Elephas maximus indicus: one gene and its partners. The protein of the gene in region 3 interacts with the protein of the main gene of each other region in a biochemical or structural test. Links are inferred from orthologs where the notes say so. Each region holds a gene or a part of one and is shown on either strand. Other genes may lie near its edges.

Region 1 (7,248 bases), on a different chromosome or scaffold from region 3:
TATAAGACAAGCCCAGAACTTAAGACCCCATATCTAACAGACTTCAATGTCCCACCAGCTCAACTGAAATGATCTCCTACACAACTTGCCCTATGTCTGGCCTTCCATTTCTCATCTACTGCTTTCGACATTTCAGTCAGCATCACCAAGTACATGCAAAGCCTTCACACGTGCATCATTTTACGTGTTCACGCTACCCCTTGGAGCTGCTCAGCTGCACTCCTTTCCCTTACTAGGGACCTTGGTGTTCCGAGGCCAGAGGGGCTGGCTTATCCTTACAATTCCCAATAATCCACTGACACAGATTTTCCCCCCATGTCAATTTCATGCTGGTGCCGTCAAAAGTGCCCATAATGCTCCGATGTCTCCAGTTTAACTGAAACACTAAAATGGGGCAAACAGGAAGCATCAGACACAACTGCGGTAGTGACTTATTAATCATGAAAGCAGAATTTTAGTTGCATTTTAACCTTTTGCCAGGAAAAAAAAAAACAGCTTTGAGATGATGGAAGCCTTGGTAGAAATATGCTGCCTGATTGTGTATGAAGCTTATACTTGTTCTTTAGCAATGAATTAGGTTTTAAGATTTTTTAACGTTTCCCCAAGCAAGTACATCTGTCAAGTCAACCAATGTGAATCTGTCAGCTCTTCATCAAGGTGGCTAGGCCTGTCAGGAAAGCCCATGTGGTATCCATTGAAACAGGAAAAAAATAGGAAACTAAAAGTGACTTCATAGGCCAAAGGGACAGAACACTCTTAAGAGGGTGCCAACAAGGAAGAAAACAGCCCTAGATGAAGCTTCACCTCTCACATTTCTACAGATCTCTCACTAGACTCAGGTCATGGATGGACTGTTATCACTCACCAAAAAAAAATCACAACAGTTGCCTAGGGTTGGACAGCCAATCAGGGCAAGTCCACTTCTCAGCATGAAATGATACACAAACACTCCAAGCAGATCACAAAGGAGGCAATGTTCAACAGGAGAATCAAAATGAGGAACCAAATCTCCATCTGTTGAGGCGAAACAGCCTGGCCAGACATTTTTGTTTAATAGATGAAGGCTCATCTGGCAGGGTCTCTGTCAATGGTGCCACTCCCACAAACTCTGACAGACAATACCAGGGGCAAAAAACCCCTTTAGAACTCCTCCTTATCATCTGAAAACACTCAGGAGACAGCCTAAAACTTAGCAGCTTACTGCTGTCTGATTTCACAAAAGTGCTGAAACATATACCTGGGTTCTTATTTCTAAAATTAAAGTCAGAGACTACAACTTTTATTTTGAGACCTTCTGAGAAGTTCACCACACCCTTCAAAATAAATGAGGATGTCCTAAAGGTGTCTGAACATCTTAGAGGTCTGCTATCACTGAACCAAAGAAACTAACTTTGACATTACTTTAAAAAACCAAGAGTAAATCTGAATGCATCTTAAGCAAGACGAGCACCTTCTAAGTGTCTTCTCACATTAAGAGCATAAATACCACACCAAACACTGCTCCCTCTTTCCTACATCTGAGTCCCATAATGTGGTTCTGGTCCAGGGGAAGGAGTGCAGAAATGACTTGAGCGACTCAGGCTCAAGTCCCCCACTATCAATGTACGAGGCATCAGGCAATATACATAATTCCCACCACCACCTCCCTCAGGTACTTCACTTATAAAACAGGACAATACTATCTATCTTAGCACAGAGATGTCTGAAGGGAAAAAGGGGTTACAGGTATCAAGATACTTAGATACTTAAGTAAAGTAAAAAATACATCACAAATGTTAAGATACTAATCTCCCTATAATCTTTCATAAAGACCATGCTTCTAGTCAAGGGGTTTTCAACCTTTTTCCAGGAATAAACTTCAGACTGCTAGTTTGTGTCATGGTCCAATCTTATCATTTAATTTCATTTGCTTTTAGAGTTCTTAGTCCTTAAACATCACTACTGTTCTTTGGCTCCAAGTAACAAAAATAATTTTACCATTTTTACTGCTGATTTCTGTACCTTTTCTGCATTCGTCCTTTTTGAGAGCCAAGAGCAACATGTTAAACTCAGCTAGGAAGTAAACACGTTTCTGAAGTTTACCGAGAACCAGGGAGGCTCCTAGGCAGGTGGGAACCTCTGCACTGTACAAGTGTCCTCTTTCTGTCTGGTGCCCGGTCGCTTCAAGTTGCCAGGGCCACGATGGGCTTCCAAGTGGTAATATTATATCTTAGCCGGCAGATAAGAATGTCCTCAGTGGAAAGGGCTGAAGAATTAAAGAGCAGGGCTGGGGCCAGAGGAAAGAGGGAAGATGCTCCGGCGGCCAGCACTGCCCCGCTGGATGCCAAGGGCAGGCTCTGCTCCTTCTCCCCGCCTCGGAGCGTGACCCACGAACTTCCCGGGGACGGCCACGAGAGTTTCACTGGCCAGGGCAGGTGGCAAGGCGCACGGGCCGGGCGCACATCAGCATAAGACACCTTGCTCCCGGAGCGAAGAGAGCCCCGATCCTGGAGGGCACCCGGGGGGTGCGGGGAGGGCGCGGCCTAGCGGTGGGGGCATCTGAGCGCAGTGGAAGAGGGGGTGTTGGGGAAGGGGAAGCAGCGCGCCCCTGCGGGCGATTGGGGCGAGCGTGTGGCCTGGGGGGGGTGGTGAGCGGCCTGGAGGCCTGGAGCGAGCAAAGCGTGCGACTGTAGCCCCGGCAGCGCGTGTGAGCTAGGGCAGGCGGCCGGCCGCGACTGCCGACAGCCCGTGCGCGGGTGGGTCGGACCAGGAGGGCCGGGCCGCGCGGGACCGGACGGCCGGCTCCCCCGCTTAAGGGGCGGCGGCAGGCCAGGCCGTGGCCAGGCCATGGGCTGAGGAGCAAGCTGTCCCCGCCGCCCCCTGAGCGCCCCACGACGGGCCCTGGGGTCCGGCTCAGTCACCTACCGGCCGAGCGCCGATTTCTCCAGCCAGCGAGTGTCGCGCTCCTTTCTCCCACGATCTCCCGCCGCCGGTCACCGACCGCTGAGCTCCCAGCCCACGGTCGCCCCGCCCCACGGACGCCCAGCCCCGACCGCGGGCCCCGCCCCCTCATCGCCTTCCCGGCCGCCCCCGGGGCCACGCCTCCCCCGGCGGCTGCAACTTTGCCTCTCTTCGCGCCTGCTTTCTCTGGCCGCGTCTCGACCTTTGGCCCCTCCCACTCCTCCAAGATAACCAATGAGACGGGCCCAATACTAGCCCAGGCTCTCCCCGTTGTCCCGCCCCTCTAGCGGCGATTGGTTAACGAGGCCTCGTTTCCAGAAATGGGCACTATTTCCGGACAGTGTTTATAGAGAAGAGATTGCTGGGCGGACAGATTGACAGAAAGCGGAGGCGGCCGAAGTGATTGGTGTAACCACACATGCGCGCTCGGCTGCGGGCAGTCTTTTTACCGGTTGCGTTTTTCTTGAGGTTACGGGAAGGAAAGGAGAGTGTGCGCATGCGTGGGCACTCCCAGCCTCTGATTTCGGTTACCTTGGAGACGGCGAGGCGCACCCCCTCCCGGGTGTCGTTCCACTTCCCCTTTGCTGCCAGGCGGAGGCTGCTGAGGTCGGGGGTGATGGGATTAGAAATACTTTTGTTGAGCACTTACTGTATGCCTGACTCTGTAGAGTCCTTGAGGACGAGTAAGACAAGTTACGGTGCCTGCCCTCGAAAAGCTTAGGGAGCCAAGGGCCTACACAGGTCACAGGTCGGATAAAAACGTGTGTTCAAATCAGAGCCCAATGAGAGCGTGCGGCTGACGTGATGCAAAGCCTCCCCTGCCAGAGAAACAACGTGGTGCTAACCCTGGGCGAAGCATCTCCTCGCTGGGTATGCAGGTTACCAAACCAAAAACCAAAGCCATTGCGGTTGAGGCTACTCCGACTCATAGGGACCATAAAGGTTACAAAACCAGAAAGATTAAAGCCTTGCATATGCAAAGAAAGGACTTGAGTTTAAATACCACCGAGGTGTCAACAGTGCTTCTGTCTGAATGGGGAGGAGGGATTGGGGAGAGGGAGTAGAGATAGAAGGTATGGATATTTTTTATTTTCTAAGTTACCTATCTTTTTTTTCCAGTGTTTCTACAGTGAGCCAGTACTTCATAGTAAAAAAAAAAAAAATCAAAAATTATTTTTAAAAGTTTGCGAAATAAAAGATGTGCCCCTTCCATGGTAACCCCCCCCCCCATCAGGGACTCACACAAGTTGTGACTGGCTCTAATGGTAACGGTGAGGAGGCCCCATCAAAGGCAGCTGCCTTGAGCAGTCTCTAAAAGGGTTTGAACAAAGGCCAGGCCACTCTGCTGGAATCACACTTTTCAGACAGTCTTTGGTAGCTCAAAGCCTCTTTCTGAAGATCGGCACCCAACAAACACCTTCTCTTGGGTAAGGTGTTTGTTGGGTAAGGTGTTAGGGAAGACTATTCATTTAGGCACGGAGCCCTGTGGCGAGGTGGTCAAGATCTCAGGCTGCTAACTGTAATGTTGGCAGTCCGAATCCACCAGCTGCTCCTTGGAAACTCTATGGGCAGTTCTACTGTGTCCTATAGGGTCACTATGAGTTGGAATTGACTTGAGGGCATACAACAACATTCATTTAGGCAGGGGTCACAAACTCACAACCTGCGGGCCTCACCCACTCTCCCAGGCCAGAGACATGTTTTGTTTGGCTGGCCCAGTGGTTTTTATTTGTTTGTTTTTTAATTTAATACCTTAGCAGCGCCTGCAGTTCTTTACAGCCTCCACCCCTGTTGTCTTGTGTGCAACCACTTAACCTTATGCCACCTGTCTGCCCCTGAAGCATTTGAGGTTGTGGCCCCATAAAGCCTGTGCTTTGGAGCCAGATATCTGATGCAAATCCTGGCTCTGCCACTGACTAGCAGGGAGATGGTGGGTAAGAATGAAGCTGGACTGTTGGCTCCTAAAGCTCCCTCCAACCCCAGGGTTCTGTGTTTCAGTGACTCAGGGAGAGGTGGAGCTTGCCAGATGGTAGGTTACAGGTTAGTGTCCGTGGGCTTGGATTCCTGGGCTTGGATTCATGTCTTGCCTCTCCTCTCACCTGTTTCCTCTGGGCACACCACTTCTCAGGAAGGACGTGGGCACAGACCCAGATTCTGCAAATGCTCCCTGGCTCAGCTTTGCCTTCCCTCTCTTTCATCATTCCTTCTCTAGTACACAGTGCCCACGTACCTTCTCCAGGCTCCCTTGGCACTTCTCTAATCTTGGGCCCCCTGCATGCCCGACTCACCCCACTAAGGTTATCTGCCCCGAGAAGCTGGAATATATGAAGAAGAACAGGACGTCAGGATTGGTGGAAGACCCTTTAACAACTGTGATACGCAGATGTCAAAACCTTTCTTGCTGAAAGTGAAGACAACTTGAAACACTGATGGAGATCAAAGACTACAGCCTTCAGTATGGATTACACCTCAACATAAAGAAAACAAAAATCCTCACGACTGGACCAATGAGCAACATCACAGTAAACAGAGAAAAGATTGAAGTTGTCAAGGATTTCATTTTACTCGGATCCACAATCAACAGCCATGGAAGCAGCAGTCAAGTCAGAAGACACATTGCATTGGGCAAATCTGCTGGAAAAGCAAAGATGTCACTTTTAAGGCTGAGGTGCTCCTGAGCCAAGCCATGGTGTTTTCAGTCGCCTCATATGCATGCAAAAGCTGGACAATAAATAAGGAAGATCGAAGAAGAACTGATGCCTTTGAATTATGGTGTCGGTGAAGAATATTGAATAAACTATGGACTGCCAGAAGAATGAACAAATCTGTCTTGGAAGAAGTACAGCCAGAATGTTCCTTAGAAATGAGGATGGTGAGACTTTGTCTCACATACATTGGACATGTTATCAGGAGGGACCAGTTCCTGGAGAAGGACATCATGCTTGGTAAAGTAGAGGGTCAACAAAAAAGAGGAAGACCCTCAATGAGATGGATTGACGCAGTGGCTACAACCAGGGGCTCGAACATAGCAACGATGATGAGGATGGTGCAGGACTGGGCAGTGTTTCGTTCTATTGTACATAGGGACATTATGAGTAGAAACTGACTCAATGGCATGTAACAACAATGACAACACTAATGTGATTAACGGGAGAGATTGAACTCTTTGGCCCAAAGCTGTGGCTCTGGAGAAGGAATTTCACGTTAGGTTGCAGGGAAGGAACCAGGGAAAGAACTGGTAGGAACTCCTGCTGAGAATTTGCCTTTCTGTCCCAGATATGGAAACCCTGGTGGCATGGTGGTTAAGTGGTATGGCTGCTAACCAAAGGGTCAGCAGTTCGAATCCACCAGGGGCTCCTTGGAAACTCTATGGTGCCGTTCTATTCTGTTCTATACGGTCACTATGAGTCAGAATCGACTCGATGGCACTGGGTTTGGCTTTTTTTTTTTTGGTCCCAGATATACTGAATCAGAATCTACAGCTAAACAAGATCCCCAGGTGAATCTTATAGATGATAATTGTTGATAACCACTGCTCTACTGGTGGTTCTCAGAATTGGTCCCTAACTAGCAGCATAGCATCACCTGGGAACTTACCAAAAATGCAAATTTGCAGCAGGAGTTCAAACCAGAACAAATCAGTTCAAAGTCCTGGAAGGAACAAACCACCCAGTGAGGAAGATATCTGGAGACAAGCAGGGTTTTGGCTGCTTTTCTCGGTCTTTCTAAGCCCCTTCAAGTGAGCCCCTTGGAGTCTCTGAGTCTTGAAATGCTTCATTTTGCACCCCCTGGAAGGAGAGCTTCAGGGCAAAATCACTTCCTCCACGCCAGGCTAGTTAGGTCACCACAGCCTGGGATGGCTCCTAGTCCTGAGTCACTGGTATGGCCTCAGTTCTGCTTTCAATAAAAGAAATTGACATTTACAGAGTGATTCACACCTGGAGCAGTGAGCAAGGTTCTCAGCGCTCAAGGGTTTCCACATTCCACCCCAAAGGCTTGGATCTGGAAATAGAAAGGTTAGACCATGATCTTCCACAAAGAAAAATCTCAGAATAACAGCTCCTATTTTTTGAGTGTTTACTAGTTGCCAGACACTGGTAAGTACTTGCTTCTTGGGCATGATCTCACCAAATCTTCACCTCTAATCCAGGGTTTCTCAACCCTGACACTATTGACATTTTGGGTTGGATAATTTTTTGTTGTAAGGGGCTATCCTGTGCACTGTAGGATGTTTAATAGCATTCCCGGCCTCTACCCACTAGATGCCAGTAGTCCCTCCCAGCCAGAGTTGTGACAACAAACAGTGTC
Region 2 (6,892 bases), on a different chromosome or scaffold from region 3:
CACTTGAGGCTATGCTGGCATCGCCTCCCTGGAGGGGAGATGAGAGGGTGGAGGGGGTTAGATGCTGGCGAAATGGAACGAAAAGAGAGAGTGGAGGGAGGGAGTGGGTTGTTTCATTAGGGGGAGAGCAATAGGGAGTATGTAGCAAGGTGTATATAAGTTTTTGTGTGAGAGACTGACTTGATATGTAAACTTTCACTTAAAGCACAATAAAAAAAATTTTTTTTAATGCCCTTTAAATATAAAGACACAAATAAGTTAAAAATTAAAAGATGGAAAAGATATACCATGCTAACGCTGGTCACAAGAAAGCTGGAGTATTTTATTATCAGAGTAGAGCCGTTAATATCAGAGCTTCAAAATACACAAAGCAAAAACCAACAGGATTACAAGGAAAAACAGACAAATCCCCAATTACAGTTGGAGATTTCAATACACCCCTCTCAATAATTGGTATAACAAGTAGACAGAAAATCAGCAAAACTAGAAAACACTATACACCAACTTGACCCAACTGACCTTTGGAAAACGCTCCTTGCAACAATGGCATAACGCACATCCTTCTCAAGCACACATGTAACATTTACCGAGACAGACCATATTCTGGGCCATAAAACAAGTCTCAATAAATTCAAAAGGATTCAAACCATACTAAGTATGTTTTCTGGCCACATGAAATCAAATTAAAAAATCTGTTAACAGAAAGAAGCGTGGAAAACCTTCCAAATATTTGGAAGCTAAACAACATACTTTTAAATAACCCAAGGGTCAAATAAGAAATCAAAAGAGAAATAGAAAGCATATTGAATTAAATGAAAATGAAAACACAACACATCAGAATTTGTGAGATATTGCTAAAGCAGTACCAAACCAAAACCAAACCCACTGCCGTCGAGTCGATTCCAACTCACAGCGAACCTACAGGACAGAGTAGAGCTGCCCCATAAAGCGTCCAAGGAATGCCTGGCGGATTCGAACCGCCAACCCTTTGGTTAGCAGTCGCAGCACTTAACCACTACACCACCAGGGTTTCCACTAAAGCAGTAGTAAGGGGAAAATTTATACAGCTATACGCCTGTATCAGATAAAAGGGAAAAGGCTCAAGTCAATAAGCTCAGCTCCTATCTTAGAAAGTTAGGAAAAGAAGAATAAATTAAAACTAAAGTAAGAAGAAAGGAAATAATTAAGATCAGAACAGAAATCAATGAAATAGAAAGCAGAAAAACAACAGGGAAAATTAATGAAAAAACAACCTGGTTCTTTGAGAAGGCCAATGTTTATTAACTGCCAAGGAAAAGAGAGTCCTGGAGATCTACTTCTAAAAAACCAAAAAAAACAGCCACTGAAAATACTGTGGAACACAGTTCTACCGACACACATGGGGTTGCCGTGAGTTGGAACGGACTTGAAGGCAACTGGTTGGTATGGATCTAGGAGATGGTGGGTGGTACAAATGGTTAACATGGTTAACATCCTTGGCTGCTAACCGAAAAGCTAGAGGTTTGAATCCACCTAGAAGCACCTAGGGAGAAAGGCCTGGAGATCTACTTCCAAAAAATCAGCCATCGAAAACCCTGTGGCACACAGTTCTGCTTTGATACACGTGGTGTTGTCATGAGACAGCACCAACTTCACAGCAACTCGTTGGTTACTACGGGTCTGGCACTGTCCAAGTCACTGGGGTACAGCAATAAACAAAACTGACAAAAGACCCCAGGCCTGTATGACTGCTATTCCTTCTGCCTGCAATTCTCTTCTTTCCAGATACCTATTTGTCTCATTTTCCTGCTATTTCTCCGTAACACTTGCTATCTTCTGATAGACTATGTTTTTATTTCCTTCCTTCCTGTCTTTCTTTCTGTCTGACCTTCTGTCTGTCTAGCTCTCCCACCTAGAATGTATGCTCCATAAGGACATAACTTTTTGTCTGTTTTCTTCATAACCTTATCACTGGCATCTAAAACAGGGCCTGGCACATGGTACCAAAAAAAAAAAAAAAAACCCACTACCATCCAGTCAATTCCAACTCATAGTGACCCTATGGGATAGAGTAGAATTGCCCCCATAGGGTTTTCAAGGAGCGGCTGGTGGAGTCAAACTGCTGACCTTTTGGTTAGCAGCCAAGTTCTTAACCACTATGCAACCAGGGCTTCAAAACATGGTAGTTTTCAATAAATATTTGTTGAATGGATGAATCCCTGCTCTCATGGAGCTTACAATCTCTCTCTGAATGAAAGATTTGAAAATTACTGCTCCAGAGGCAGGACCTTAGAGTCAGGGGCCAACTATAATGTCAGAAATCAAAGTCTAGGCTTACAAATCATGAATTAAGGATTAAAGACCATGTCTGGAGGTTAGAGGTCAGGAGGTTAGAGGTCTCGGGCCACATGAGGTCAAATTGGGTTTTGGGATCAGTGGGTTAGGGATGTGGATTCCAGGAACTAAGAATCAAGAGTTCAAGAAAGGAGAGTCAAAAATGATTGGGTTTAAAAAAAAAATTTACATATATATATATATACACACACATATATGGTTAAGATCAAAGTTGGATAGATTGATTTATTAAAGATTAGGATTTGGGAGTTAGACGTCAGGAAGTCAAGGATCAGAGGTCAGATTTAGGAGTAAAGGTTAGAAAGCCGGATCAGACCACTGGGGTATCAGGTAAAGCTGATCTTATCCGAGGTTGGATCCTTGGGGCCGGTTCGGGAGTCTAAGGTTCACTCACGTGTCCCCATCCTCAGTGACGTAGCCGAAGACGAGGGGCACCCACGAAAGCCCCGGGCCCAGCTCTGCGCCCAGCCCCGGTCCTCCGGGGACCGCTGCGTCCGGACCCAACGAGCCCAGGCCGCTGTCGCACCACTCATCCGCATCTGCGGCTTTCCCCAAGCACGCGACCCCGGCCATGCCCCCCTCTGCCTCCGGGACCCCAGAGGCCGCCCTCCGCCAGCCTGCCTGCCTCTGGGCTGTGCCCGGACCTCTGGAGCTTCCGCCCTGCGGGGAATTCCCCAACACTCCCCCTACTGTCTCCAATAAGAGTGGGCTAAATCGCTCACGTCCCGCCCAATCTCGCACCAAGACCAATCAGAGTGTCGGAATGGACTACAGCTCTCGACCTGTTCCCACATTTTCCGGGCGCCCTTTACCAACATGGCTGCCGACGCGCGGCCCTCTGGGACTCGTAGTCCGGCTCTCGTGTACCTTCCTTATCCGGAGGGACGCGCTCCGATCTTTGAGAGAATCGCTTGTCTGCGGCCGCTATTGCTTCTGGGAGTTGTAGTTCTCTGCCTCTTCCTTGCCTCTCCCCCTTCCGGTGCCGTCACGGGACAGAGCAGTCGGTGACAGCCCCGAGGGCCCCGGCCCCGCGCCCATGGCCGAGCCGGACCGTGAGTCGAGGGCTCTGGTGGGAGGGACGGGCCGCACCGGGGCCTGGTTTCGTGATCCAGGCCCTGGGGCCCGAGAGCGGGCGCGGTGGGGCAGGAGGTGGAGGCTGCGTGGGGGAGTGGAATTTGAAGGGCCATTGCTAAATGCTCTGTGTCGATAGGTTGTTGGGTTTCTGGGTCGCGAGGTTTTAAGGGTCACTTTACCGTGTTACTGATAATCGCATGTTTTTCGACCCTCGTTGCTAAGGACCCTCGTTGCCGCGATCCCGGTTGCTAAGGGTACCTGGTTGTTAGGGGCAGCTGTATGATGCTAGGCGGCCCCGGTGTTCCCTCCTATCTCTTCCCTCTAGTTCCTGTACCTCTCCTAAACCTACCACCGCCACCGCACCTCCTCTCCCAAACCCGCCTCCCAGCCAGGGTATCCCTTCCTACCTCCTTTCTTCCTAAATTTCCCTCCACCCTGGAAACCTAACCCCCTCAACACACACACACGGCTGTGCCCTTTCTAACTCTTTCTAACTCTTCTTCCACACCCTGTATCCCTTCCTTTCTCCTCTCTGTCCCCCTAAACCTGTCCCTCCCCTGCCTCTCTGTCCCTCACTAGCCACCTCCCTTCCCAGCAATCTCCACTCTAATATGATCAGCTTTTCCTCATCCCCTCCTCTCTACTCCTTACCCCAGTGTGACTAGGTCGGTGGGTCTTCTGGGTCCCCCTACTCCCGCTCTTAACCCCTTCATTCCCCCTTAACCATCCCCCCCTGCTGTAACCATGTCTGCTCCCCTCCTCCCCCAGCCTCTGACCCTCTGGAGACCCAGGCAGGGAAGGTGCAGGAGGCTCAGGTGAGATGGGGTAAAGGGTGGAATGGAGGGAAGGAGACAGATGGACTTGTTCCTACATCCCACACTGGGGGAGGCGGCAGAGGGAAACCAGTTCCCCTAGGGCCCCCAGCTCACTGCCCCAGGCCCTCTCCCCCACCCAGGGTGCAGCCTCCTGGGGAATGGTGGATTCTGGTGACTTTCAGAGAAGGGTGTGTTACCCCAGTCCCAGGCCTGCCCTCCCAGGTTCCCTCTTTCCTTGTCCCTCTTCCCCCCATCCCTTCTGAACCTCATTTGTACTGGGCCTGGGAGAGACACACATCAGATTTGGTCCCTGAACTCACGGCTCTCACAGAAAAATCACTAGAAAATGAGTCTATAAGGGAATAATGGAGGTATCTCAGGCCACTGTGGGAGTAAGCCTTGTGGGATCACAGACTCTACCTAGCCCCTTCCCTGGAGGAATCCACAGGCTGGCCTAGGAGTCAGATTGAGATATAGACACAGTGTAGTCGGTGAAGACTGGCTTAGAATGTTCCTACACAAGGTGACAAATGGTGTTCCAAGCAGAGGATGTAGTTTGTGCAAAGACCTGGAGGCATGAAAGACTGTGATCTGTTCAGTAGTTTGGTGGCTGGGGATGGTTGTTGTTAGGTGCCATGAGTTGATTCCAACTCGTAGCAGCCCCATGTGACTGAGTAGAACTGTCCTATAGGATTTTCTAGGCTGTAATCTTTACAGGAGCAGATTGCCAGGTCTTTCTCCCAGGTAGCCACTGCATGCTTTCGAACCCCCAATCTTTCAGTTAGCCACTGAGCACTGGCCGGTTGCACCACTAGGGCTCCTTTGGCTAGGAATGGTCGAATAATTATATCCATGGCTAGCATTGATTGAGTGCTTACTCTGTGCTGGAAACGCTGGTGGTATAGTGGTTAAGTACTACAGCTGCTACCCAAGAGGTCGGCAGTTTGAATCTGCCAGGCGCTCCTTGGAAACTCTGTGGGGCAGTTCTACTCGGTCCTATAGGGTGGCTATGAATTGGAATCTACTCAACAGCAGTGGGTTTGGGTTTTTTTGGTTACTCTGTGCCAGGCACTCTGTTTAGTGCTTTGTATGCATCGCCTGGTTTAACCTTCCCGATATCCCTGGGAGGCACACGCCCGTTGTGTAGATGAGGAATCTGAGGTATCTGGGGTATCTGGGGCAGAGGTGATAAGACTTGCCTTCTGTCCCTTGGCTAGAAGAGCAGGAAAGGGTTTGGAACTCAAGACCTTCAGCATACTGCCCTCCAGACACTGAGACGACAGGGCCGCCTCCTAGAAGCTGGAGGCTGGAAGACTTCGCCAGCACCTCCACCTCCCCTGTAGGCAAAGCTGCCCCTGGCTGGGCAGGGCCCTGGAGTCCTCCCACAGAGCCTCTTTGTCTCCAGCCCACCCACAGATGCGAGATGGCTTTGCAGATGTAGACCAGTGTAGATGCTGGGATTAAAGTACCTCACAGAGGCATAGCACAGTGACACTGAGGGTATGAGAGCTTCCCCTCAGGCCAGGGTTTCAAACCCCCCTAGCTCCCAAAGCACCACTGCTGTCATGTGGGGTCCAGAGAAAAAGGCTTAGTATTAGAAAGGGATCCTCAGTCCCCGAGAGAGATGGAGGACGTAAATCGCAGCATTGTCTCTGCAGTGTGGCAAAGCTGGAAACAGCTCAAATGGCTGTCAGTAGATGAGTTAAATGAACTGGTTCGTCCATACAATGGGACGCTATGCAGTTGCTTAAAAGGAGGAGGTGGGTCTGTACTGTACTGTTCTCTGGAAAACTGCAAGGTGCAGCCTCAGACTAGGGCCTGACCCATTTCTATCAAAATAGTGAACGTTTACATGTAGAGGAGAAAGCTGGCATAATTAACATCAAAACTTAACTAATAGCGGTTATCTCGATGGGGCCTGGGAGAGAGAACCATGAGGCAAGTGCCCCAAGTTACACATTTTCTAACCTTCAAAGTTTTTGCAAAGCTTGTGTAATCTTAAAAAGTGTCAAAGAAAGAATCATACCAGATAGTGTTAAAACATGGCGAGGGTGACTTTGATTCAAAGGGAAGTTGCAAGGGGAGGGGAAAGAAATACAAAACTGGATGGATGGAGCACTGTAGTGGGAGGAGAGGGAGCACTAAGGGTGAGACAGGGACACCAGGACTGTGTCTGACCCCCAGCCCTCTGAGATGCAGGACTGTGAGCTTTTCAAAAGAAAGTTAAGGGGGATGCTGGGGAGTCCCTGGGCGGTCCAAAAGGTTAATGTGCTGGCTGCTAACTGAAAGGTTGGTAGTTCGAGTCCTCCCAGAGGCACCTTGGAAGAAAGGCCTGACAATCTTCTTCTGAAAAACTCCGCCATCAAAAGCCCTGTGGAGCACAGTTCTACTGTGACGCACATGGGGTCACCACAAGTTGGAACTAACTCGACAGCAAATGGTTTTTTTTTTTTGGTGAATATTATACCGCGGTTGTGATTAGGGCCTGTTTGCGCAGAATTTTTTTTTTTTCTGTCATAAGGCACCTGGATCTTGGGGGACCCAGTATGCATTGGAGGTAAGGAAGGGGAAGCTAAAGTTATTCAAGGAGAGTAAATCGTTATGTCTTGGTCAGTGCCTTGCAGTAAGCCCTGTCATTTGGAAGGGGAGGTTCTGATTCAAATAAGCTT
Region 3 (7,848 bases):
ATCTTTTTGTTGTTGCCGCAGCAACAGATACAGATGTGGACACTGATGACATAGGCATGTGATCAAAAATATAGAGCCCACAAAAGGGAGATTCTGTGCATGGTTTTGTGTTCATGATAGTCAGTTGTATTTTCAGCATTGTTTTCTAAAATACTATTTACAGTTATTACAGCAATTTGTAGTTAACAAAATACTTGAAAAGGCTTTTTTTTTTCCAGCTATACAAGAAAGGTAGTGCCATCTTCATTTTATAGATGAAGTAGGCTCAAAGGTTTGCCTAGAGAGCTAGGACTTGAGTTCAGGTCCTTTGACTTTTAGAGGATTTGTGTGATTTGAATTCAACCCTTCTATTTATCATAGCTTCAAAGTGGAATATGGACCATATGATATGCAAACAGTTATTTCTAATATATCAAAAATAAGTAAAAATAAAGATAAAAAAGCAATGGCAATTAGAAGAAAGTTTGTACGTAGTGACATTTTATATGTGTGTCTGTGTGTGGTTATTTTTTAGTCCTGAGGGCCAAGATAAGTTGTTTTGTTGAGAGTGAATTTATGCTGCTGTGCCTGTCTAGACCTGAATCCTTAGAAGGAGAGGCAGAGGAATTTCAAGTCAGAGTGGGTATGACACTTGAGTGTCTGACTGCACCAGGCCCTTGGCAAACTCCTGATCTAGTTGGGATGTCAAAACTAGAGTTTAAGGCAGGATGTAAGTACAACTATTGTGGTGCTCTGTGTTAGCTCCCCATTTCGCAAAGCCTTGTAAGGTAGGTGGTAGTAGGTGTTCTCATTTCGTGGATGAGGAAATCAAGACTCACAGCTGAAAGTCATTTGTTCAAGTCATAGACAGCATGTGGCTAAGCTAGGAATGGAATTTATCTGCGGTCTGACTCCAGGGCCTGCCTTCTTTCTACTGTGCCATATTGCTTCTCTAAGTACCAATTCCATAGTTCCAAGTTTGTTCAAGAAAAGAAGTTAATGGGGTACAAGCTATTAGGAAAGAGGTAGGACCTGAGCTGGTCACTTAAAATGGGTATGATTTTAGTAGACAGATGGCAGCAGTGGCGCTCAGAGCAGGAGAATGGTATGAGCAAAGTCAGAGAAATTTGCATACCTTCTTTGGGTGATGCTGAGGAGAGCTCTCTGGCTGGTGAAGAACAGAGGGAGGAGGGATTTTGGGGCTGATACTGTCCATTTTGACTTCTTTGTGTCCTTTCTGCAGGGAGGTCCTGGCCAGTGAAGCCATTCTTAATATTCCTGACAAGTCCGATTGGAGGCAGTGTCAGATCAGCAGAGAAGAGGAAGAGACCCTAGCCCGCCGCTTCCGGAAAGACTTTGAGCCCTTTGACTTCACTCTGGATGACTAACTAAAGGGAAAGACACTTTACGAACTTCACAGGTTCATCCACCTGTTTTTAAAGAAACTGCAGTTTCCTATGAGGACTGTTTCCCTGCCTCTCTTTCATGTATTCCCGTGGAACCTGCCCACAGCAAAAGGTCTAGGACTGAATAATTTTTGGAAGAAGTCACATTCTAGGATGAAAGTCCTATGTTAAAAGCATGTCTGTCATCCAGCTCCAAGTACCAGCTTGTGTTTATCAACATTTTAAAAAACATGTAGACTATCAAATAAAATCCAAAGGCTTTTCTATGGTTGAGAAGTGTCTTGTGTTCATGTTACCTGTGATCCTTGAAATGATGTAGTGCATGTAATAGGAGGGGCCAGGGTTTTAGGCCCAGTGTTTCATCCCAGAATCACCCAGGGTGGCTTCTCCCTGAGCAACCTAGTTTTGAGAAGGGACCCAAGGCCTTTGCCACTTTTCTTTTATAGCAGTCATCTTACTGATGCATAAAAGCTCATTCAGTCCTTCAGCAAATATTTAACTCCTATGTGCTAGGCACTTTTCTAGGCTCTGGGAGTATAGTTATGTCCTAACATGGTCCCTGTTGTCCCATAGTTTACAGTCTAATTGGGAAGAGAAGGGACAGATTTAAGAAAAAAAGATGATTTCTGCTTTGGATATGTTGAGTTTTAGATGCCAAAGATTTGTAACGGATGCATCCTGGGTGCTGCTGGAGAGTTCTAAACTCATGGAGATTTAGGTTGGTGATAGGGATTTGGGTATCATCAGGATATAGGCAGTACATTAAATAAAAAGGATGGATGAAAATAAGAGTTAAAGCTCTAAGCTGAGGATGACTACCTGAGAAGTATTACTATTTAAGGAGTACTTGGAGTGATCCAACAAGTACATGGAGAAGAAGCAAAGAGAGAGATCTCAGGAGACTGTCAAAAAAATTCCTCCTATATATTGGGCATGTGTGGCCCAGAGGAGAAATATGTGGCAGTTGAAACACTATGGGGGCAGTTCTACTCTGTCCTATAGGGTCGCCATGAGTCGGAATAGGCTGAATGGCAACAGGTTTATGGCCCAGACACTGGATTTCACTTAGTCCTTACAAAATCTCTACGAGGTGGGTATCACCACTTCCATTTTACACCTGATGAAGCTGAGACTCACAAACTTGATTGTGGAGTCTGGGGCCTACCAGCCTGGGATTTAAAAAAATGAGCTATGCCGTATCCCTAAGAATGAGTACTTTTTTTTTTTTTAATTGTGGAAACTTATAGCTCAAGTTAATTTCTCGTACAAAAACGTATACACATATTGTTTTGTGACATTACTTGCAATCCCCACAATGTGACAGTACACTTCCCCTTTCTACCCTAGGTTCCCTGGGTCCATTCAACCAGTTCCTGTCCTTTTCTGCCTTCTCATCCTGCCTCTGGACAGAAGCTGCCCATTTGGTCTCGTGTATCTCATTGAATTACTCTTCACTTGTATTATTTTTTCTTTTATATTCCTGTCTAATCTTTGAAAGGTGGGCTTTGGCAATGGTTTCAGTCCTGGGTTAACAATGTCTGGGGGCCATAATTTTAGGGCTTCCTCCAGTCTCTGTCGGACCATTAAATCTGGTCTTTTTATGGGAATTTGAATTTTGCTCAACACTTTTCTCCCACTCCATCCAGGACTCTCTTGTGTTCCTGGTTAGGGCAGTCATTGGTGGTCTCAGGCTGGTGAAGACTCTGGTTTATGTGGTCCTTTAGTCTCTTGGGCTAATGTTTTCCTCGCGTCTCTGGCTTCATTCTCCTTTGCTCCAAGTACCCAGTAGGATGGGACCAATTGATGCATCTTAGATCATCGTTTCCAAGCTTTTAAGACCCCAGACACCACTCACCAAAGTGGGATGCAGAACATTTTCTTAATAAACTTTGTTATGCCAGTTTACCTAGATGTCCCCCAGAACTATGGTCCCCAGGCTCCAGCCCCAGCTAGTCTGTCCCTCGAGGTGTTTCGATATGTCCAGGAAATTTCTTAGCTTTTGCTTTGGTCCAGTTGTGCTGACTTTCCCTTCACTGAACTTATTCTGGTCTACTATCTAGTAAGTGAATTCCCCTTCTCCTCCCTCTCCACCCTTGTAACCATCAAAGAATGCTTTCTACTTCGTTTAAAGCTTGAGTTCTTATAATAGTGGTCTCATACAATATTTGACCTTTTGTGACTGACTAATTTCACTCAACATAATGCCCTCCAGATTTGTCCATGTTGCGAGATGTTTAGAGGATTCATCATTGTTCTTTATCGTTGTGTAGTATTCCATTGTGGGTATGTACCATAATTTGTTTATCCATTCATCTGATGATGGGCACCTAGGTTGTTTCCATCATTTTGCTATTGTGAATAATGCTGGAATGAACATGGTGTGCATGTGTCTATTTGTGTGAGGGTGCTTATTTCTCTAGGATATATTCCTAGGTGTGGGGTTGCTGGATTGTACGGTATTTCTATTTCAAGGAAGCACCAAATTGTTTTCCAAAGTGATCGTACCATTTTACATTTCCAGCAGTGCATAAGTGTATCAACCTCTACACAACCTCTCCAGCATTTATTATTTTGTGTTTTTTGGATTACTGCCAGTCTTGTTGGGGTGAGATGGTATCTCATTGTAGTTTTGATTTGCATTTCTCTTGGCTAATGATCACCAGCATTTCCTCATGTGTCTGTTAGTTGCCTGAATGTCGTCTTTGGTGAAGTGTCTGTTCATATCCTTTGCCCATTTTTAAATTGGATTATCTGTGTTTTGGTTGTTCACATGTTGCAGCATCTTACAGATTTTAGAGATTAGATCCTTATTGGATATGTCGTAGCCACATTTTTTTCCCTCTAACTGTAGTTCCCCCCCCCTTTGGTGACATCTTTTGACAAGTGTGTTTGATTTTTAGGAGCTCCCAGTTATCTAGTTTCTCTTCTGGTATTTGTGCATTGTTAGTTGTGTTTTGTATACTATTTATGCCACATATTAGGACTCCAGAATGGGGACGTTTAAGGAGCAAACCAGTGACCCTCTTAGCGCAGAAGTCTTCCTAGTTCTTGAGATTCCCTAACATTTAAATCATCAGTGGCCTTTGCCAGTGCCAGTTCAGCGGGTGACAGGGTTGGAGTATACACGGCTGGGGTGTGGGGAAGGAAGTGTATACAGAGATGCAGACAATCTTAAATTTGAAAAAAAAAAAAAAAAAACGAATACAGGACAGATTAGAAAGTGATTTGAACGGAATGTAAGATCTGGAGAGATCTTATATTTTTCAATATTAGGAAAAAAACACGTGGGCTCTCTCAGCCAGTAACAGACCCATGAAACTTCCAAAGCAGACGACGAACACCCTCCACGCCTCCCAACCCTTTCGCCCGCGGCGTTTTAGAGAGCGCTGGACAACGTGGGCGGGGCTTTTCCTCGGGCAGTTACCGGAAATGACACATATCTCGCGAGAAGAAAGGCGCGCGAGCCTCGGCGTCCCGGAACCGGCCTTGGAACAGCGGCGGTGTATAAGGCAGCTTCCCCTCCCGCCCCATGGAGGGGCCCCCGGGCCTGCGGCCGGGCGCGGGCGGGCCCTGGGAGATGCGGGAACGGCTGGGCACCGGCGGCTTCGGGAACGTCTGCCTGTATCAGCATCGGGTGAGCCCGGACGCGCGAGGGAGCGGTGACTGTTTGTCAAAGCGTCTGTGGAATATTAGGGACTGTCAGTGTGTGAGAGATTGTCAGTGAGAATTGGAGGCAGTGTTTGTGGGCCAGTGGGTATGTGTGTGTGTGTGATATTGTACTTGTGAACTTGGGTGACTGAATCTGAGGTTATATCCGTAGGAACGTGTGATACTGGTCCTGGGCCAGCGTGTGAGATAGAACTATTAGGGGGAACTTTTGGTATGAGTGGCAAGGTGTGACAAGCTGTTTAGTGAGTGTGACAGTGCCTTTATGTGTCTCTTTGTGAGTGTACAATGTTAGGGTGTGTGAGGCAGATGAATGTCAGAACGTGTACGTGTGAGCAGGAATGGGTGAGAAAATGGGGCTACAGGGGGGCTGTCTGTTGGAATGTGCGTGTTCGTGTTTGTGACTGGAGGCCTGTGAGTGTGATATCTGTAGGGACCGGAGTAGACAAGGAAGGCGTCATGGAGGGTCTGGAGTTAGGCCTTCGAAAGCATGGGTTGGCTTTGGAGGTGAGGATGCATTTCAGGTAGGAAATAGTGTGAGGACGAGCTGGTGAAAACGATCAGTGGCTTCACAGGGAAGGAGATAAGATTGTAGGTGGGGGGCAGCTAACATCAGACTCAGGAATTTTATTATGATTTAATTGAGAATGTTTAACCATTGTGGCAGCAGTTAATAATCATGTTCAAGTCATGCATCTTCTGAGATTCAAATAAAGCCATGAATCTTTTCTTCCAAAAATGCACATCCACACAACCTTAGGCCTAGCCATTTGAGGGGGTTCACAGTCTCCTGACACACATTTACAGACCTTATAGGTGTACAGAACCTGAAATAATAATCCCTGCAGTATAGCCTTAGTTTTGCCATCTATAAAATGGGTGTAATAATGTATATACTTCATGGATCCACTTGAGAGTTAAATAAGATAATGTATGTAAAACTACAATGCCTGGCCCATGGTAAACCTTCAGATGTTAGCTGCCAACATGTGTTCTTTTTGCTGTTATCATCCTCATCATCAGTCTTTGGGCTTAAAAAAGGAAATGTTAAGATAAAAGTGGTGTTCTAGGAAGATTATTTTGTGAAAGATGAATTTGAGTTGAAAACTTATGGGCAAGATTGGCACTTAAGCTATTACTAAAATGCCAGCAGTTGGTCTGTGAATGAAGAAGTGAAATCAAATGAAGAAATCCTGATTTGCTGTTTAATGAACATGGCTGTGGGTAGCCCATATTGTGAGGTGGGAGTGAAGAGAGATGGGAGCCTGTCTAAGAGGGAATAGTCATGTTTGTGGGGCAGTTAAAATGTCAAATGTTACTGGTAGAACTGAAGAAATTTTGCAAAGCAGGTTTCTGTTGTTAGGTGCTGTTGAGTCGTTCTGACTCATAGCGACCCTGTGTACAACAGAATGAAACACTGCCCAGTCCTGTGCCACCCTCACAATTGTTATTCTTGAACCCATTGTTTCAGCCACTGTCTCAATCCACCTCATTGAAAGCCTCCTCTTTTTTGCTGATCCTGTACTTTACCAAGCATAATGTCCTTCTTCAGGGACTGGACCCTCCTGATAACATGTCCAAAGTACCTGAGACAAAGTCGTGCTATCCTTGCTTCGAAGGAGCACTCTGGCTTTATTTCTTCAAAGACAGACTTGTTAGGTTCCTCTGGCAATCCGTGGTATACTCCGTATTCTTCATCAGCACCATTGTTCATAGGCGTCAGTTCTTCTTCAATTTTCCGTATTCATTGTCCAGCTTTTGCATGCATATGAGGTGATTGAAAATACATGGCTTGGGTCAGGCATAACTTAGTCCTAAAAGTGGCATTTTGCTTTTAAACACTTTAAAGAGATCTTTTGCAGCCAATTTGCCCAATACAATGTGTCTTTTGATTTCTTGACTGCTGCTTCCATGGACGTTGATTATAATTCCAAGTAAAATGAAATCCTTGACATTGTTAATGTTTTCCCTGTTTATCATCATGTTGCTTATTGGTCCATGTGTGAAGATTTTTGTTTTCTTTATATTGAGGTGCAGTCCATACTGAGGATTGTAGTTTTTGATCTTCATCAATAAATGCTTCAAGTCTTTTTCACTTCCAGCAAACAAGGTTGTGTCATCTGCATATCAGAGGTTGCTGATGAGTCTACACTTCTAATGCCCCATTCTTCTTCATACAGTCCAGCTTCTCGGATTATTTACTCAGCATACAGGTTGAATATAGTGAAAGGATGCAACCCTGTTGCACACTTTTCCTGACTTTTAAACTATGAAGTATTGCCTTGTTCTGTTTGAATAACTGCCTCTTGGTCTACATACAGGTTCCACATGAGCACAATTAAGTGTTCTAGAATTACCATTCTTCGCAGTGTTATTCATAATTTGTTATGATCTGCACAATGGAATGCCTTTGCATAGTCAATGAAACACAGGTAAACATCTTTCTGGTATTCTCTGCTTTCAGCCAAAATCCATCTGACATCAGCAGTAATATTGTTTCATGTCCTCTTCTCAGTGCAGCTTTAATCCTGGCAGTTCCCTGTCAATGTACTGTTGCAACCGTTTTTTAATTATCGTCAGCAAAATTTTACTTGCATGTAATATTAATGATATTGTTCTATAACTTCTGTGTTCTGTTGGATCACCTTTCTTTGGAATGGGCACAAATATGGATCTCTTCCAGTCAGTTGGCCAGGTAGCTGTCTTCCAAATTTCTTGGCATAGATGAGTGAGCTTCCTTCCATCTTCTTTTGATGCTGCATTGTTTAATATTTTTTTCCTGTAGAATCCTTCGGTA

The links. The genes of interacting proteins can lie anywhere in the genome.
Region 1: of the proteins of CHUK (region 3) and MAP3K14, one has a biochemical effect on the other in vitro, tested with the Homo sapiens proteins (5 studies listed by BioGRID and IntAct, with this or other methods). The link is inferred for Elephas maximus indicus from reciprocal best matches to the Homo sapiens genes CHUK and MAP3K14.
Region 2: of the proteins of CHUK (region 3) and NFKBIB, one has a biochemical effect on the other in vitro, tested with the Homo sapiens proteins (2 studies listed by BioGRID). The link is inferred for Elephas maximus indicus from reciprocal best matches to the Homo sapiens genes CHUK and NFKBIB.

The regions. Positions count from the first base shown.
Region 1 is NC_064837.1:51,659,085-51,666,332, forward strand, and holds the start of MAP3K14 (mitogen-activated protein kinase kinase kinase 14), read right to left. Parts: upstream 3,006-7,248; 5' UTR 2,905-3,005; intron 1-2,904.
Region 2 is NC_064829.1:112,633,632-112,640,523, forward strand, and holds the start of NFKBIB (NF-kappa-B inhibitor beta), read right to left. Parts: upstream 3,006-6,892; 5' UTR 2,908-3,005; coding exon 2,729-2,907; intron 1-2,728. Other genes in the region: SIRT2 (NAD-dependent protein deacetylase sirtuin-2), read left to right, coding at 3,371-3,386, 4,177-4,223. UniProt on the Homo sapiens protein: Inhibits NF-kappa-B by complexing with and trapping it in the cytoplasm.
Region 3 is NC_064834.1:51,889,287-51,897,134, reverse strand, and holds the start of CHUK (inhibitor of nuclear factor kappa-B kinase subunit alpha), read left to right. Parts: upstream 1-4,848; 5' UTR 4,849-4,914; coding exon 4,915-5,019; intron 5,020-7,848. Other genes in the region: CWF19L1 (CWF19-like protein 1), read left to right, coding at 1,223-1,367.